3 linked regions of the Drosophila melanogaster genome follow. The protein of the gene in region 2 purifies or fractionates together with the protein of the main gene of each other region. This does not show direct contact. Each region holds a gene or a part of one and is shown on either strand. Other genes may lie near its edges.

Region 1 (5,404 bases), on a different chromosome or scaffold from region 2:
CATCGAGAGCTTGGACACTTTGCATTTGATGGGTCTGAACAAAGAGTTGAGGCGTTCTCGGGATTGGATAGAGAAATCCTTCCATTTGGACCGGGTTGATGAAGCGTTGTCCGTTTATGAACTGACATCCAGGCTGCTGTGTCCCATGCTCACTCTATATTCCCTCACCGGGGATTCCCTCTACATGGACAAGGCCATCCATATTGCCGATAAGATCCTGCCTGCCTTCGACACGCCAACTGGTATACCCAGACGACTAGTGGTCCCAAAAGAAGGCAGCACCCTCACGAAGTACCTAAGTGATATCTCTCGCACTTCTGAATTTGGCTCTCTGCACCTGGAGTTCTACTATCTCAGTGAAGTCTCTGGATATCCGGTGTACAGGGAGCGAGTGGATGCTATCCGCGAGATATTAGCTAAAACAACCAGGCCCAATGGCCTTTATCCCAATGCCTATTGCACAAAATTTGGTAAGTGGGAAAATTACAACTGCTCCATGCACCGACTTTATGATACCCTGCTAAAGTCATGGATTCAGTCCGGGAGAACTGATACTCAAAATGCTGATACCTTCAAAGAAGCCATGCTAGCTGTGGCTCAAAATCTGGTTGTCATCAATCCCGAGGACGTGACCTACGTGTCCACGTTCAGGAATGGCACTCTTTTCCATCGTATGAGGCACTCCGATTGCTTTGCCGGCGGGCTTTTTGTCCTGGGAGCAGCAGAAACCCAAATGAAGCACTGGGAAAAGTATGCCCATATTGGCATAGGCCTCACAGATACTTGTCACGACAGCTACTGGAGTTCTCCCACTCGGTTGGGTCCGGATACGTTTGCCTTCACGGAGGAAAGCCAGCAGGAAATAGAGCCGCTCCAGAGGAACTATTACAATTTACGGCCGGAAGTCGCGGAAACTTACTTGGTTCTGTGGCGCATAACCCATCATCCACAGTACCGCTTGTGGGGATTGGAGATGGTGCAGGCGATAGAGAAGTACTGCCGAATGCCCTACGGATATACTGGAGTGATGGACGTTAACAACGTTACTTCGGAACCGGATGACGTGCAGGGGTCCTTCTTCTTGGGCTCCACTCTGAAGTATTTGTATCTGCTCTTCTCCGACGACGACGTGGTTTCGCTGGAGCAGTGGGTCTTCAACAGTGCAGGCCATTTCCTGCCCATTAAGGGCGTGAACCCAATGTATCGTCAGCATAACTCATCGAACTAAACATTAGCCAATTACCAAAATAGTTAGCATCTATTTAAAGTTTAACTTTTAATGCAGACATGTATAAAAAACTTGTGTGATCTAATACTTTCACAATGAATTACAAAACCTAATTTCTAATTAGCTGGGAGCACACACATTGAGCACACCTAAAAGCACATACACACATAAATGTCAAATGTCGAACATTGGCCCGCTAAACCATCGCTGGCATCCGCCCTAGAGCTCTAGAGCTGGCTGTTGGCCAGGTGGTTGTCGATGACCCGCTGGATGATCATCAAGCAGTGGCGCTGCCTGGCCACCGTGTTGTCGATCAGCTGTTCCGTGAACTGACTGGCCGCAATGTTCGTGTTGGGCGGTATATCCTGCGTGCAGGATATGTACCTGTTGAAGATCTCCGTGTTCAGCGACGTGGCCAGATACCGCTCGCTCTCGTCCTGCTGCTGCAGCTTGTCCAGCTCCTGGGCGGCCAGCAACAGCTGATCCTTGGCCTTCTGATATGATTGCAGCTCCTGCAGGCTGGCATACTCGGCGCTGCTCAGTTTCACGGACCTGCCGCCGTCTTTCGTCATCTGGCGAATGTGGTACTTGCGCTCGGCCACAAAATTACCGAGCAAGTATCCTGCGAAACCACGACACACAAGAGTGACTCATTAGGCGCTGTCCTGTGAATGCACTCACCTGTTATCAGCATGAAGAAGCCAATCGTTAGCACCAGGGAGGCACAGGTGCGCTTGGAAACGTACTCGCGGAACTCCCGAGAGCTGTTGGCCCGCACCGCCGTCTCGTAGCTGAGTACCTGGTGCATCCTGATGACCTGGTCCCCTTGGGGATTATAATCTGTGGGGCCTGCTTGGCCTAGTCACGTCGAGACACTCGGATGTGTCCTTCAGAACTGGGTGGGAACATGGTGCTATCGGTGGTATCTAGTGCCTAAAGCATGGAATTTGTAATTAAACATTAGAAACTGTATCTGTGAGTTACAGCTGTAAGTTTCTTAATTACTTCGATATGTTCAAGGATTTAAGAGCGCGGAACTTGGAATGATATAACACCTCTTGGTATGTCATGTCAGGATTTAATGTTCTCCTTTCACATTTTTAGTTTGAGCACTAAAACCGCAGTGTCAATGCCCCGAGTTCCTGTTCTGGCGATGCCGCTGATACGGAGGAGCGTGACTTAATCGCCCCACCTTAAAAGGCAATCGCGAAGCCCGTTGTTATGGGCATCGCACACGGCAAACAGCGCGGTCCTTTAAACGCTTCGTCGAACACTTTTCACTCACTCGCTTTATAGGATATCGTCGGCTTGGCTCGACTCTTGTGCTGCCAGGATGGGGTACATATGCATTAAATTAATTAATGACTGCACTTTTGTGTTGCACTGCCCGAAGGAAGTGGGCTACAAGTGTGGGAATGTCCTTTGCGAAGGGAGCGCGCTCAACTTTTAATTGTATTATTTATGCTTTATTTACTCGTCGCGTTCGCTCGGATCCTTGCGCGTTATCCTTGCGAGCGGTCTGAATGCCCGGACGCCCAGTCGGGAACTGACTCACGCTTCGTTGGGGGTCGGCTTTAATAGCTCTCCGTTCTCCGTTTTCCGTTCCGTGTGGTGAGTTTCCTGCCCCGATATGTTGCACATTTCAGCGTGGCACTACGTCGGCGGAAGGACGGTCAAGGGGAAGCTCGGAGAATGCAAACAAAGGCATTCCCAGTAGCTTCCTAATGAGGAATGGGTCCGCCATTTCGCCCACTCCGCCCGAGGCGTTCCTCAGAAACTATATCGGATTTCAAGCCATCGCCTCACTTTGAGTGATACTGCTGCTCCGTAGTTCCGAAAGTGGACCTCCCTTTTGATTGCCATAATCGTATTTTCTTTTCTGCTTCACTATTCCCTGCAATACTTCAAGGATATCACATGACCCTCGATTGCCATTTCTGTTCCTTGGGGTTCTTTGAAGTCCCCCCCATGACACCTTGCTTGCACATTTTCACTTGTTGTGCTGTGACATATATTACTGGGAATTTATGCATAAACTCAACCATTGCATACAATTTGAATATATATTTTGAGGTACGATTATAAACTTTTGCTTTTCTGAACTTGAAGTACATAATCCCATAACGCACTCTATTACTAAGTTAATCCATTGGGTGGCATAAATTAAAATAATTTATTGCACGATAAGCTTGTACACTTCTATATGTGCATCGATAGTGACTTCATTGGTCTATATAAAAGTGTGAGACCAACAGGAGATTTTAGTATACAAAATGAAGGCTTGCGTACCCATATTGGCAGCCCTTTTTGGATCAGGGAGCAGACTGGCATTTACTATTAACCATGGTTAATAATTCTTTATGATTTAATAAAATTAAATGAATTAAATTGCTTGAACTTGTATCCACTCAGAATTGATTGAAGCACTCAAAACACTCTTATTCCCTTTGCTAACACTTCATTCATACTGCCAAACACTCGTCTTGAGTATCTGCTAGTATAAATCAAACTTTTTCGTTGATAAAAGTGCTGCGAGATAAGATTTCGCACTTTGAATTAGCATCGATAGTGATTATGGCTAAGCTATATAGTATTGGGACCACCATGGGAGCCTTTTAGTCTTTCAATATGAGGGGTCTTACACTCTTGTCGCTCGCCTTCCTTGGGGTCTGTAGTGCCCTAACTGTGCCCCATTCGCTGGTCCATCCACGCGATCTGGAGATTCGTCATGGAGGGATTGAGGGTCGTATTACCAACGGAAACCTGGCGTCCGAGGGTCAGGTTCCCTACATCGTGGGTGTGAGCTTGAACAGCAACGGAAACTGGTGGTGGTGCGGCGGATCCATAATCGGACACACTTGGGTGCTCACTGCTGCCCACTGTACCGCTGGGTGAGTTATTTGATTTCACAAATAATTAACGCTCTTTGATAAATCATCGTATTGCAGTGCTGATGAGGCTTCACTGTACTATGGTGCCGTCAACTACAACGAACCTGCCTTCCGCCACACAGTGAGCAGCGAGAACTTCATCAGATATCCCCACTACGTTGGACTCGATCATGATTTGGCCCTGATCAAGACTCCCCATGTGGACTTCTACAGCCTGGTCAACAAAATAGAGCTTCCCAGCCTGGATGACCGATACAACTCTTACGAAAACAATTGGGTTCAGGCCGCCGGATGGGGTGCCATTTACGATGGCAGCAATGTGGTGGAGGATCTGCGAGTGGTGGATCTGAAAGTGATCTCCGTGGCGGAGTGCCAGGCTTACTACGGAACTGATACCGCCTCCGAGAACACCATCTGTGTGGAAACTCCGGACGGAAAGGCCACCTGCCAGGGTGATTCTGGTGGTCCTCTGGTCACAAAGGAGGGTGATAAGCTTATCGGAATCACTTCCTTCGTCTCCGCTTACGGATGCCAGGTTGGAGGACCGGCTGGCTTCACTAGGGTCACCAAGTACCTGGAATGGATAAAGGAGGAGACTGGAATCTATTATTAAAAAAAAACTTTACTAATTTCAAAGCAAAAAGGTGCTTAAACAAGTTTTAAATAAATGAAGAACATATGCTGTTATATTTTGTGTATTATTAATTTCTTGGAAGATAGTGGCATATTCATGTTTAGAGATAAAATTACCAATAATACATAATCAATACATTACATATTACATAATACATACCATTTAATACATTACCTATGTAATATTAACCTATTAGTGTTTTATTTTTTGATAATCTAAAAATCAACTTGTTGAGAACAAAAACTGTACAATGTGCCGTATGAGTAATATTTTATCACACTTTTTTTTGAAATTGGTAGTAAATACTTTCAATAAACATTATTCAGAATTTAAATTTCTTAAAGATCATAAAATACTTTACTCCTCATTTGGGTAATCTGAGTATATAATATATTTTAGGTGAAGTGAATGTCCTTACATGATACTATCATACTGAAGAGTAAGTTGCAAATAAGGCACATGTCATTCCACTTCAAATTTAGGCCATAATTTACAAAAAAAAAAAATCACCTGTAGTGGACTTATCAGTCGACGATGGCTCGCGATGATAACTTGATTAAAATTTACTGCCCTCCCATTTTACATACGTGTGGAAGGAAGGGCTCTTGGTCGAGATAAGACTACGGACCACTTCTGTATATAAAGGCGCTT
Region 2 (5,448 bases):
CCTACTGATCCGAATGGCTTGTGCCGAAGCACTGAACCCGGTGGCTCTCTGCAGGATGTTGCTGCAGGAGAAGTACAAGGATCGGCATCGATCGCACATCTCACAGCTTCTTAGGCATCCGCATCTTATCGACGATCCCAAGCTGGCGGCCAATGTGCAGCAGTGCATAGTCAGCGACAATCAAGAGGGATCCATAACGGACCTGCGACGCCGCATAGTTGGCGAGGAGTACGAGCTTAAGCTTAAGAATCTGGCTAAGGAGGCGGGTATCCATTTCTACGACGAGAAAGATTTGCGACGCATGGGATATGACAAGACGCCGGACATCAAGATGATCCTGCCATTTCTTTACAAAGGCTCTGTGATCAACTGGATCGAGAGCAAGGCCAATTTTGGGGACACCAAGGGACACAAGTCGAACATCCAACAGCAGCTGCAAAGCTACTGCAATCGGTAATATGAAAGAATTCATTCTATAACTATTCTAATTACATATATATATATATATATATTGTCAGTTTTGGTCCTGGAATGATAATCTATTGGTTTGGGTACCACGAGGAAACGCCTGCGCTGCCGGATAACAACATTGGCATTACAGTACTCGCTGATTTTCCGGCAAAAGAAGATTTGGTTTTTATGCAACTCGCGCATGAAGAATACTCCGCTGAGACTCCGACAACGAAAGAGGACAGCAGTTCCGGGAGTCAACCTATTGTAGCTGAATGTCCAACCAAAGAACTGAAAAAACTTTCATGAAACTGAAAGTGCAGGGAAATCGTTAATGTATACTTTTTAACTATAGAACGAAATGTGCTTGTTAAAACAATGTACATAGAAAGCCTAAATTTTAAGTGGGATGTTGCCAAATGTTAAGTAGCATTGAAACCATCAAAGACAGGAATGCTTTGCATTTATACACTAACCATAAGATTAGACAATGCTTCTGCAGCAATAACTTTTCTCTTTAGTTTTAACAATTATACTGTTTTTATTGTATTTATAAATTCTCATTTACATGATGTATTCAAAGGTTTTTTAGTAAAAAAATCGTATACAAAACTACGACATTGTCAGCATCGTTGTTCATAATAGACCAAATCAAAGACAAAGCACAAGTAATTATTGTTACTCAAATTGCTAGTTGCCTTTCAGGGAAAATAAAAATCAAAACAAAAGTATTTATTTTACTATGTGTAAATTTTCTTTGTATTGTTGTGGTAGCCATATGTGTTATTTTCAAAGTATAAACCAAAAGTCAGCAGTGTGTATATAAAAAATTCAGCTGGGCCCTTAGCTTTGGAAACTATGTTCTAACTTTACGCGCCCTCCTCTCATCGACTTAAATGTTGATGTTTGTTTTGTCGGGGCTGTTGTAAAGTTATTGTTTCAAAAGTTTCGTACTGGTAGGAAATTCGTCGATTTCGATCAGCTTGATATATTTATATATGCACGCAGCCACATCGGTCATCAGACCTCCTTCAGCTCATCGGGCATGTCATTCTTGGGATGCTTGTTCTCGAAATGCTGCTTGTAAGTCTTCGGATCGGGCATTTGCGACTGAAATGGAGACGAGATTCGATTAGGTTTCAAATAAACCACAAAGTACGAGTAATAAATATAAAATAAGGCATTACTATAACATTCATCTGAATCGAATTCTTTAGTTTAAAGCTCCTGAGATGTCGAATGTTTTGCGATAAATTTTCTTTAGTATTTGCGTTTTAAAACCTCGACGTTAAAGTAAGCGAGTTCTTGCGTGATTCTTCGAGCTGTCTCAAAACCATTTGATTAACCCACTGCAGTTGCTGACTTAGGGAGGTTTCACTGTAGCTGGCTTACCTTGCAAACGGCGCACACATAGACAAGTGCCTTCTGGGCCGCCTTCTTCTGGTCGTTGGCACTGTGTCCTTGTTGCTTCTTTAGTTTGGCCTGCTTCTCGGAGGCCTTCGCCTGCGACTGGATCTTCTGGTGTCCACGTGCCATTTCTTGCTGTTTAAGTGGAAATGGATGAGTTAGCATATGTAGTAGTACCGTCTATGTGCTTCACGGGATTCGCAACAAAGGTGGCGGAAGCGCAGTCACTTTCACTTTCTCCCACACAGCTGAATAGGTGACTCTTGGGATTACCAAACGGAAAGCACAGTTTCCGGTCAGTATACTATAGTTAAGATACCAATTATTTATGTTTTGGAAAATCTGACACGACACTGTACTCGAACAACAACAAAGCACGCCCACAAGTGAAAATGTGGATTGCGACCACGTTCTGCGCCCTTTTTGCGAATCCACCGCTGCTTACCTAATTAACCCGATTAAATTTGGTTGGCTGTACTAAATGCAGGTGTGATGCAGCCTTTGCAGTTACGTAAAATTCGTTGTTACAAACTGTTTTGATTTTTTACCCGAAATTATTAACGATTAACCGTAAATTTGTATCAATTTGTCGGGTTTTGTTTCGCTGCCAGGATTAAATGGGACCAGAGCTGAACTATATCCAAAATGTTTGGGCATAAATATATGTGGGTTCGCGTCTTGGACTAACAGCTATCCTGACTTAAACCACTTAACGGTACTCGTAATAAATTTTCCTATTTCTAATTATTTGTATAATTTTTAAGCATTTCAACATTTTTATTTTTCGTAATAAAATAAAAAAGTATTTGTTATATGTTCGTAATTTAAAAATATTACCTACTCCCCCGAAAAAGTATTATTTTTATCTTAAACTAAAAGCACATCTAAAATAATATTTAAATAAATTATTATATTATAACAAATTATATAATTTTAACATTTTTATTTATAAATTGTCAATTACATAAATTAGTTATAGTACAAAAAGATTTATTTTCTTTCATTTGTGGCATAATTCGTATAAAACTTTCACGTGTAAACAAAAATCCAAAACGGAGCTCAGAGTATTTATGGTGTTTTAGATATCTTCCTGTGGCTTAGGCAATAAATATCAAAATTAAACAATTTCTATTCATTTTTTAAGGTAGGTAGGTGTCTTTGTATTGGTTTAGCCACACATCGAACAATCGCATACTGTGTTAATTTCAATGTATAAAACAAAACCAAAATTCAGCAGTGTGTATACGAAAAAACTGGCATTTGTATATTATTATTACGACTATTATCCATCCTCTTGGCTTCGGCTTGATTGTGGGCTTTCTTCTTAGGGCTGATGCAAATTTATTGTTGCAAATGTTTCGTACTGGTAGGCAACTCGTCCATCTCGTTCAGCTTAAAGTGAAACGATCATCAGACCTCCTTCAGCTCCTCGGGTATGTCGTTCTTGGGATGCTTGTTCTCGAAGTGCTGTTTATACGTCTTGGGATCGGGCATTTGCGACTGAAATGGAGGCGAGATTCGATTAGGTTTTCACCCAAATTGTTATCCACATACATAAAGGAACTAGGGGTGCAAATATAGCAACTTGAAAACAGTGATCGTATATCAATATGTTATCATTTAAAGTAATCAAATATCAGCAGTGCTTGGTCATCACTTAATTTAAGATAACGTTGGACAAACATATTCATTTGATATTGGTAAATATTCATGTTCAATTAAATTAATTTGAATTACTTACGACAACAAGTAAAAGCAGTTAATGTTAATAAAGTAGGAAGTGCATATAAATTGAAATACTTTTTTTTTATACACTCAAAAACATGGGTAAGAGCGGAAACTAGTGTTAAAACAATATCACAAGTAAAAGTGTTTCTGATTATGATAGTTTTAAGGAGCACTACATTTTGTTATTATTTGAGTTGACTAATAACTCCATCATACAGAAGTTAACCTTCTGGATGAAATGCAATAGGCACTTTCAAACTCTAGTTTGTTCGCTTTACAGAGGCTTCACTGTAGCTGGCTCACCTTGCAAACGGCGCACACATAGACAAGTGCCTTTTGGGCCGCCTTCTTCTGGTCGTTGGCACTGTGTCCTTGTTGCTTCTTTAGTTTGGCCTGCTTCTCGGAGGCCTTCGCCTGCGACTGGATCTTCTGGTGTCCACGTGCCATTGCTTGCTGCATGCAAATTCGAATGCAAATAGAAGGGTTAGTACGAGTGGATTGCAAAAAGGTCATTAATCATCTGTGGCCCAAACGGGATTTGCAACAAAGGCGGCAGAAGCGCAGTAGCTTTCACTTTTTATCCCCACCCACTCAAAAAGTAATAGCAGGAATTACCAGTCACCAGAGAGGATTTTGCTGGATCTGTGCACGTCTATCGATAAGATATTAATAATGTTTTAATCAAATCCGTTGCGTTACTGTACTGCAACAACAAATCACCACCACCACTACTGAAAATGTGGATTGCGACCACGTTCTGCGAGCCACCATTGAACTTACCTAATTAAGACGATTAAATTTGTTTGGCTGTCCTAAATGCAGGTGATGCAGCTTCGAATTTGAGCAAAACTCGTTGTAAAGTAAGTAGTGATTTGCTACCCGAAATTATTGACAACTTTTCTTAAAATACTTTTAATTTGATGGGTTTTGTTTTCTGCCAGGATTGAATGGGACCAGAGTTCAAATGTATCCAAAATGTTTGTCCAGAAACATATGTGGGTTTGAGTCTTTGATTGACACTTACCCTGACTCAAACCCCTTAACGGTACTCACGCATAAATCGAAAAAAACTGTCATTTTAACAGTTGGGAGTTTTAAGAATTTAAGATTAAGATTATTCATATGGTTATTGAACGTTTATGATAGTGAAATAGTAAAGTAGATAGTTCAATAAGTTTGTTCCCTAAAAACACACTACCGTTTTAAAATTATTTAAAACTTGTATTATTAAGTAATTTGAAATCATTAATCATTAACAAGTCTTTCAAAAACACAACCATTAAAAAGTCTTAATTTATAATGCTTATACAAAATGTATATTTATTTTGGTAGAAAACTTAACAAGTTACAAATAATTGCAATTACACCAGCATACTGGCATTATTATCGCAAAACTCGTAAATATTATCAACAAACTGCATTTCCTGCGTATTTTTAGCAACTTGAGGGGTATTTTCATTTTCCTGTAAGGGATGTGTTATTTTTGCTGCGCCTTTTTTACAGGCGGCATCTGCCTCCGATTCCTCCAACGTCAGACGCTTTAAGTTATTAATCAGCGATATATCATGTTTAATTTCATTTTTCAATTCGAGAAGTTCGTGTTCAGTTTTAATAATGTCCTCGGCATAGGCTTCGATATTTTGTTGCAACTGCCCGACCGATAGCTCCATTTCCGGTCCCTTGTACCGTTCGTTCTGCAATCGGTACAGTCGGCACATTTCCGATAGCTGACGTGTTAGAGCGTGTTCCTTTTCATAGCGAACATTCATATCGGCATGAAGAGATGCCAACTTATATCGTACACTATTTCGCAAGGGCTTATCCTTTCGCCTCCTTATGCAGTTATTAACATTGTAGTTGTTG
Region 3 (6,437 bases), on a different chromosome or scaffold from region 2:
TGTGTCCATAACAGGCATATTCCCCGTCGTATTTGCAGATGGGCAGAACTAGAGTGATTGGCTCGCACTAAGCAAGACAAGCTAAATACAGAACCCCATAGAGCGAACTAATCCTGCCTTCTGCTTCTGCTCGGCCATTTGACACCATTTTCAAATCAATTTTATTTTTAAATGCGTTGACTAATTTATGAAAACAATAAATGCGTCTGCAAATCAAGTCACAGTCACCACAAAAAGTTTATTCACAAAGCTATTCAGTAAATTGATGACTATAAATTCAATTTAATGTGCGATGCCTTTTGCACCCACCAAGACAGAGATAGACGCGCAGAGAGCAAAGCCGATTGTGGTCATTCGTCATCCCCCGACGACATTACCCATACGCCCTATGGGCCCGAGATGTGCTCAGGAGCAGTGAGCGTCGAAAGCCGGATTCTGCGCCCTCAGAGATAATGCGTCTCTGTCGCCCCACAGGGTTCGTTATCAGAACAGGCAGAGAAAATGCCAGGCTGCTCTTACTAGCAAATCAGCCAGCACCAGCGTACCGCCAGAATCCGAGCCGGACTCAATCCGCTGGAACCTGCGCAGGCGCTGGGTTGCCTCGACTGCGACGCGGCAGAGGCAACCCGTGCCACGCCATGACATAAAAGGCCGGAGCAGGACTAGCAGAACTCCCACTCCGGGTTCGCACTCCTGTAGCTAAAGTTCGCTGTTTTGTGCGCCTGTCCGCCTGTCAAGACCTCTTTCTGCACTCAGTTCGCGGAAACTGGTGGTCGCGTTTGCACTGCACTTCGGGCAACTGCTTCGAATCGATTAAGATGACCACGTCGGCACTGCGACCGAGCCAGTGGGTCGGAGATGGTGCAGCTCCTGACTGACAGCGAGTCCAGTAGTGCCAGAGTCGGCTTAGGCAACGGTTGCATCCACTTGGGACGGAAACGAAGATAGAAGGCCCCACGACGGACAGATAGCATCGGTCCAGAGCGCCCTGAAATCATGAATTTCATTGGTATGAAGCATAAACCGAGTCTAAGTCCAGTCTGCCTTCCAACACTGCCTTTCGGTTCGATTTCCGGCGGCGGACACACTGAATTCGTCTTCTTCCCCTTCTACAACACACTGCCACCACTCAACCAACCTACTAAACTACTACTCAACTCGCCACAACACACTAACGCTGTCACTCTTACCGAACTTCTGTTCCATGTAAGTCTTTCCAAGCGAACAACATTTATTTTTCACGTAACGTAACGTTTCCGTAAGCATATGGTGATCCATGAAACTGTGCAAATTGTGACGGGAAAAATCAATCAATTGGGGGTTGGTCGCTGCCTTAGAAGCCCTCCAGTTGTTGTAGGCACGTCCTATTGATTTTTAACACCACCGGTGGCAACAGCAGCTAAAAGTTCAAGGTCCGACCCTAAAGAGGATTGCAGCGCTGGTCCTGCGGGTAGAGGACATCTCCAGGACGGCACCTAAAGGCCTCCAGGAACTCCGGCGAGTTGCGCAGTGTGGCGTGAGTCACCTGCCGCTTACGGTCCTGCTGCAGGGCGCCCAGCTCGGAGCGGCAGTCGACGAGCAGGCTGGTAACGAAAAAGAGCCTCTGTAGGGACATCTTCGAGCTACCGGCGGCCAGAACCGCGTCGACTCTCTCCACTAGCCCCGCCTGGGTGGCAAGCCACTGACCGTAAGCACTAAGCGCTTGCCTTTGGGCGAGCAGGCTCAGAAGCAGATCGATGGCGTTCGTCTGCTTACCTACGCACTGTTGGAAGATGGCAAAGCGCCTCTCGGAGTCCGAGCTCCGCCAGGCTCCTTGCGTACGAGAGCTGCTACCTGCGGCTACAAGGCTTCGCGAAAAGAACTCCCCCAGTAGGAGGTAGTTGAGCGGCGTGCTCAGATTGTGCTGCCCTAGGAACGCATTTACTGGAGCGAACATTTGGGCGTAGCGACGCACCTGCTGGGCGGAATGGGAGGCCAAACGTCGCGTGCGCTGAAACTTGCGCAGCTTCTCCAGGTTGCGGTAGAGGCTCCGCCGACCCAACAAAATCGAGTGGTATGCCGCGTCCAATCGCTCATCTCCATTCAGCGTAGTGTGCATTATGTTACCCAAAAACTGTCTCGAGCTCTGCCTAGAGATCTCATCGATCCACACACTGCCGCCTAGCTGGTCTGTGTAGGCCTTTCCCAGCTCCGAGTACATTTGGGCCAGTTCGACTCGATTTGCCGTAACACGTTGCACTACGTGGGCGTAAAGGTCCCCGGCGTAGGTTTCCGATAATTGGTGGCAGTCTGCATCTACGATGTCTAATAAAGGGATGAACAAATTAAATATTGAGTTTTTTATGACTTTCAACCTCAATAGTTCAGTCCTATTTTAAAGCTAAGCTAAATAGCTTTAATAGGAAAAGTTTGAACACATTTGAAATGTGCATTTTGTGGTGTCAAAGAACGCATTAAAAGATGCTCTCAAATATTCGTTACGAAAATATTTCAACGGAATGAGTTGAAAAAAAATTAAGTTCTATAGGATGCTTATCAGGAATCTCTGAATTATCGATTGAATAAACATGACCTTTCTTTGTTAACATATTTTAGAAAACTTTTGGGTTAGCAAACAACAGTGGAAAATGACTGTATATTTGAATACGAATAGAATAGTAGTCATTTTGAAAATTCTGGAAAAACTCACCCATCAAGTAGTCCGTCCATATCCAATTAAGAAGTCGAACCATGCTTGTGTTTTGGAGCAGCGCGAAGTACTCAACCAGTCTGGGCAGTTGTTTGACTACAATGGTGTCGCTGGCCTGTGGCGTTTTGCCGCCTAGCAACTTGCGGAAGTAGCCATCCCAGTCCAGTCTGATCAGCGAGGCGTTTCCGAAGACGATGCGCTTAAAGTTTCCATAGGAAAACTGCACTTGATCCTCGACGTGATCCGCCTTTACAATGTCCCGTCTACTGCGCTCCAAGCTGAGCACTTCGAGGGCGGTCACGTGGGCGCGGCTCTGTTCTATCCCGAAGCTTTGCAGGACTTCGCCCACCCGCTGCTCGAATTTTCTTAGAGTGTTTCGGCGCGTGCCGTCGGGTTGCAGTACCACAAGTCGCTTGTTGGACTGCATGGTGACCGACGTCTCGAAGAAATAGGGCGCGCCCACTTCGTGGAAGTACCCAAGAAGTCCCAGCCATCTTTGGGTTTGGTTAGTCCGCTGACTGGCATTGACTTTGTTCGGTTCCAAGCTAGGCCAGCCCCCACTCTGCCTATACAATTGAGATCCCTTGAGCGCCTCTACGCCACGCCCGCTCTCGCAAGACTTGAAGAAGTTTATCAGTTGGAGTTCCATGTCCATCAGCTGCGCCACGTCCGTTTCCTTAAGCAAGCTTTGGAATCGCTGCCTGCCAGTCTCGCTGAGGTTGGCGCTGTGCGAGCAGACATAACCGTAGAAGTCCTGGCAGGGCTGCTTGCTGGTGTCGAGATACGGCTCTAGGTTGTGAGAGAAGCTCAACAATTCGGTTTCCACCCTGAGCAGATCGTCCTGGCCGTAGGCGATGCCAGCTATCCACAGGACGGCCAGTGCTTTTGAAATCATTTCTCCTGGGTGCTGGTGCTGTAGTCGCTCGAATCAAAATGAGCACGACGCCATTTGCCGTTTGCGCCGGAGGTAGTGGGCCTTGTTTTCTTCTTAGAGGTCGGAACAGCAAAAGGTCGCTCTTAATACCTCGGCCCACTTCCGTGCTTCTGCTTCCAGACTGCGGCTTAGACACACTAGATCCCAACTAATCGGTTTCCCATTTGTTTTCCCTGTCAGAGACAGTGGTGCTGGAATAAAAATGTAAATCACTCGGAATGATAACACGCTAGGCGATAACGAGCCAAGCTGAAAGGCGTACGTTAATCATATGTGTCAAGATGTCGGGGTTTGGATTCAATCTAAAATTGGTCACGGCCGATTTTGAGTAAATTAAAAACAAACTTAGTCCAGTTGTCTCAATTTCTACAAAAACTTTTAAGCGCAAAGTTAAATCTCATACTAAACATCTTATACCTCGTCACTTACACAGGCGCTGTAGGAGGTGATGGAGGCGATGATGGCGACGACAAGGAAAAGGCAGAGGAGGAGGAGAGGGAGCGTCAGGAGGCCATCAAGGAGGCCGAGGACCGCCGAAAGGAAAAGCACCGGAAAATGGAGGAGGAGCGCGAGAAGATGAGGCAAGACATTCGCGATAAGGTAAGTGTCCGGGGTTTTTGGGAACTTCGCAATCACAGTGAAAAATCCATGTATGCAATCCATGCCCTGACATGGCGGAACCAGTCCTGGTGGAGCTCAAATTGACTCTAGTAGGGAGTCCTTTAATGAGCGACTCCCTAACGGAGTCAGATTGAGCTGCAAAGGAGCGACACAACAGAGGAGCACTTAAAAATGTGTTAGCTGTTAAGATACCAGACTCCTAGCCAAGCCCAGTGGTCTAATCAACCTATTGATCTATCGACTCCACATTAACCATTCAGTACAACATCAAGAAGAAGGAGGAGATCGTGGAGGCGGCCCCCCAAGAAGAGCCCAATCCCCTGATGCGGAAAAAGAAGACGCCCGAGGAACTCGCCGCCGAAGCGGAGCAGGAAGAGCTCGACGATTTTACAAGTAAGTCTTTGCTGCCACTGTCAAGTGCCGTTGAACCTGGCTCAGCTAGTGGCATCTATATACTGCAATTGCAACCCACTAATTTCTCCGCTCCGATTGCTCCTGCTCCTATTCTATAACTGTATCAGATTTTGAGTTGTCGAAATTTTTTGTTTCTTACTACTTTGCCAGCGGTTTACGCGAGTCCCGCCAGGTCCAGACAATACCTATACAAATTGACTTAAAAACTGAAACCACAACAAAAACCGTTTAATATCCGCTAAATATCCCACGGCGCTCGAAAGTAGTAATTGTGGTTTTGTTTGTGCATCTGTGTGTCTCTCGTATCTTAATGCAATCGAACAACCCAATAAAAGTCTATAAATAACTGCCCACTAACCGAACTATCTATCTCTCTATATATATGTATATTTATGTACTCTTTTCCATGTGCGTAAAACATCTAAGCTACAAACCTAACTCTAATACTAACCCTAACTGCAACCCTATCTGTCTAAGATCTAATCTTCAATCTTGATGCAACGACGAATATAAACATTGTCAATTATATTTTTATATAACAAGAGTGCACACCATTTCACATACTTCATTTTATTCAGGTTTCAAACTTATGTTTCGTAACGCTTAATCATTTGTACGTGAGAATGACCACGAGAAATCTAGGCAGCATTTGAACATACAGTGGATGAATAATTTTTATGTTTTTCTTGAACTGTAATTGCATTTGTTGTTTAATATAAATTGTGGGTAAACAGGCGGATGAATTCTGCTTAGGTTTTGTTATTCAATCAATTAGAAAAAGGTAAGTGCGATTATTGGTAAAAACGTTTGTTTTCCTTATGTGTGGTAATACTGTTGTAATACATTTGTATTCCAAAACTATTCTTCAGCCCCCAACATCACCAACAATTACAACTTTCGACTGCTCTAGCTCTTTTTTCACTGCCGCTTATTCTTTGTAAATGTATCTTTAATATATCCAGCATAAAAATAACTCTACTGGAAAAAATAAGCAATGAAAGTAGCACATAATTCAAACCGAATACAAGATTTAGATTAGACCACATTAGGGGAACAAGTACATATCAACGTTTTTCTTTTCGTATATTGTTTGAACATCATTATCACTCTCTATGCACTTTACAGTACTAATAACGCCTATTTTCTACATATTAATATAATCACTAACAGAAAACTTGTGCTTGTGTGCTAAACCGCATTTTAAAACTGAACACTCATAACTATATAAATGTAACTGAACCAAAACAAATAAAAAATATATATACGATAAATGGACGATAAACAATTACAAAACGTTTTCCCTGTTGTCTACTCTTTCTCTTCAATATGTGTGCTATATGTACTTAACATACTGCATAATACGTATGTAAAATATATATAATGCCCATATACTGCATATGTATGTGTATTTCTTCGCACCGAATTCTATAACCCTATCTTTATTTCTCTATCAATCTATTAAACATCTATATAACTAAAACTAAACTCTTATACTGTGACATACTTAATGCCAACGAACTCTACTGATCAAGACTTTTCTACGTGTAATTGCTTTTTCGTTACCATTTTAATTATTCGTATTCGAACGATACCCTTTTCCGAAGCTTAAATGCTCCTTACATAACAGTTACAGCTACAGTAGACCAATTACTTAACATGAGCATCCATGAATACATATACATACCAGTTAACATGTCAAACATTTGTAGTCTACTCTACAAAATATGCTTATTTATTGCTGTTTCCATACTCAATTTCTTTTACAGAACTGAAAAATCA

What was found.
Region 1: the proteins of CG18081 (region 2) and CG15522 purify together in Drosophila melanogaster (affinity purification with mass spectrometry, with the first as the bait; one large-scale study listed by BioGRID). This does not show direct contact.
Region 3: the proteins of CG18081 (region 2) and Nepl11 purify together in Drosophila melanogaster (affinity purification with mass spectrometry, with the first as the bait; one large-scale study listed by BioGRID). This does not show direct contact.

The regions. Positions count from the first base shown.
Region 1 is NT_033777.3:29,924,627-29,930,030, reverse strand, and holds CG15522 (uncharacterized protein), read right to left. Parts: upstream 2,777-5,404; 5' UTR 2,514-2,776; exon of another isoform or gene 2,234-2,513; intron 2,162-2,233; 5' UTR 2,037-2,161; coding exon 1,910-2,036; intron 1,851-1,909; coding exon 1,456-1,850; 3' UTR 1,265-1,455; downstream 1-1,264. Other genes in the region: alpha-Man-Ic (alpha-Mannosidase class I c), read left to right, coding at 1-1,228; Jon99Ci (jonah 99Ci), read left to right, coding at 3,857-4,119, 4,177-4,732.
Region 2 is NT_037436.4:15,832,892-15,838,339, forward strand, and holds CG18081 (uncharacterized protein), read right to left. Parts: upstream 2,386-5,448; 5' UTR 2,303-2,385; intron 1,993-2,302; exon of another isoform or gene 1,989-1,992; 5' UTR 1,987-1,988; coding exon 1,843-1,986; intron 1,561-1,842; coding exon 1,471-1,560; 3' UTR 904-1,470; downstream 1-903. Other genes in the region: CG12713 (uncharacterized protein), read left to right, coding at 1-453, 519-759; CG15715 (uncharacterized protein), read right to left, coding at 3,268-3,357, 3,889-4,032; meru, read right to left, coding at 4,947-5,448.
Region 3 is NT_033777.3:4,291,064-4,297,500, forward strand, and holds Nepl11 (Neprilysin-like 11), read right to left. Parts: upstream 3,778-6,437; 5' UTR 3,585-3,777; coding exon 2,690-3,584; intron 2,305-2,689; coding exon 1,421-2,304; 3' UTR 1,211-1,420; downstream 1-1,210. Other genes in the region: cpx (complexin), read left to right, coding at 4,057-4,223, 4,505-4,756.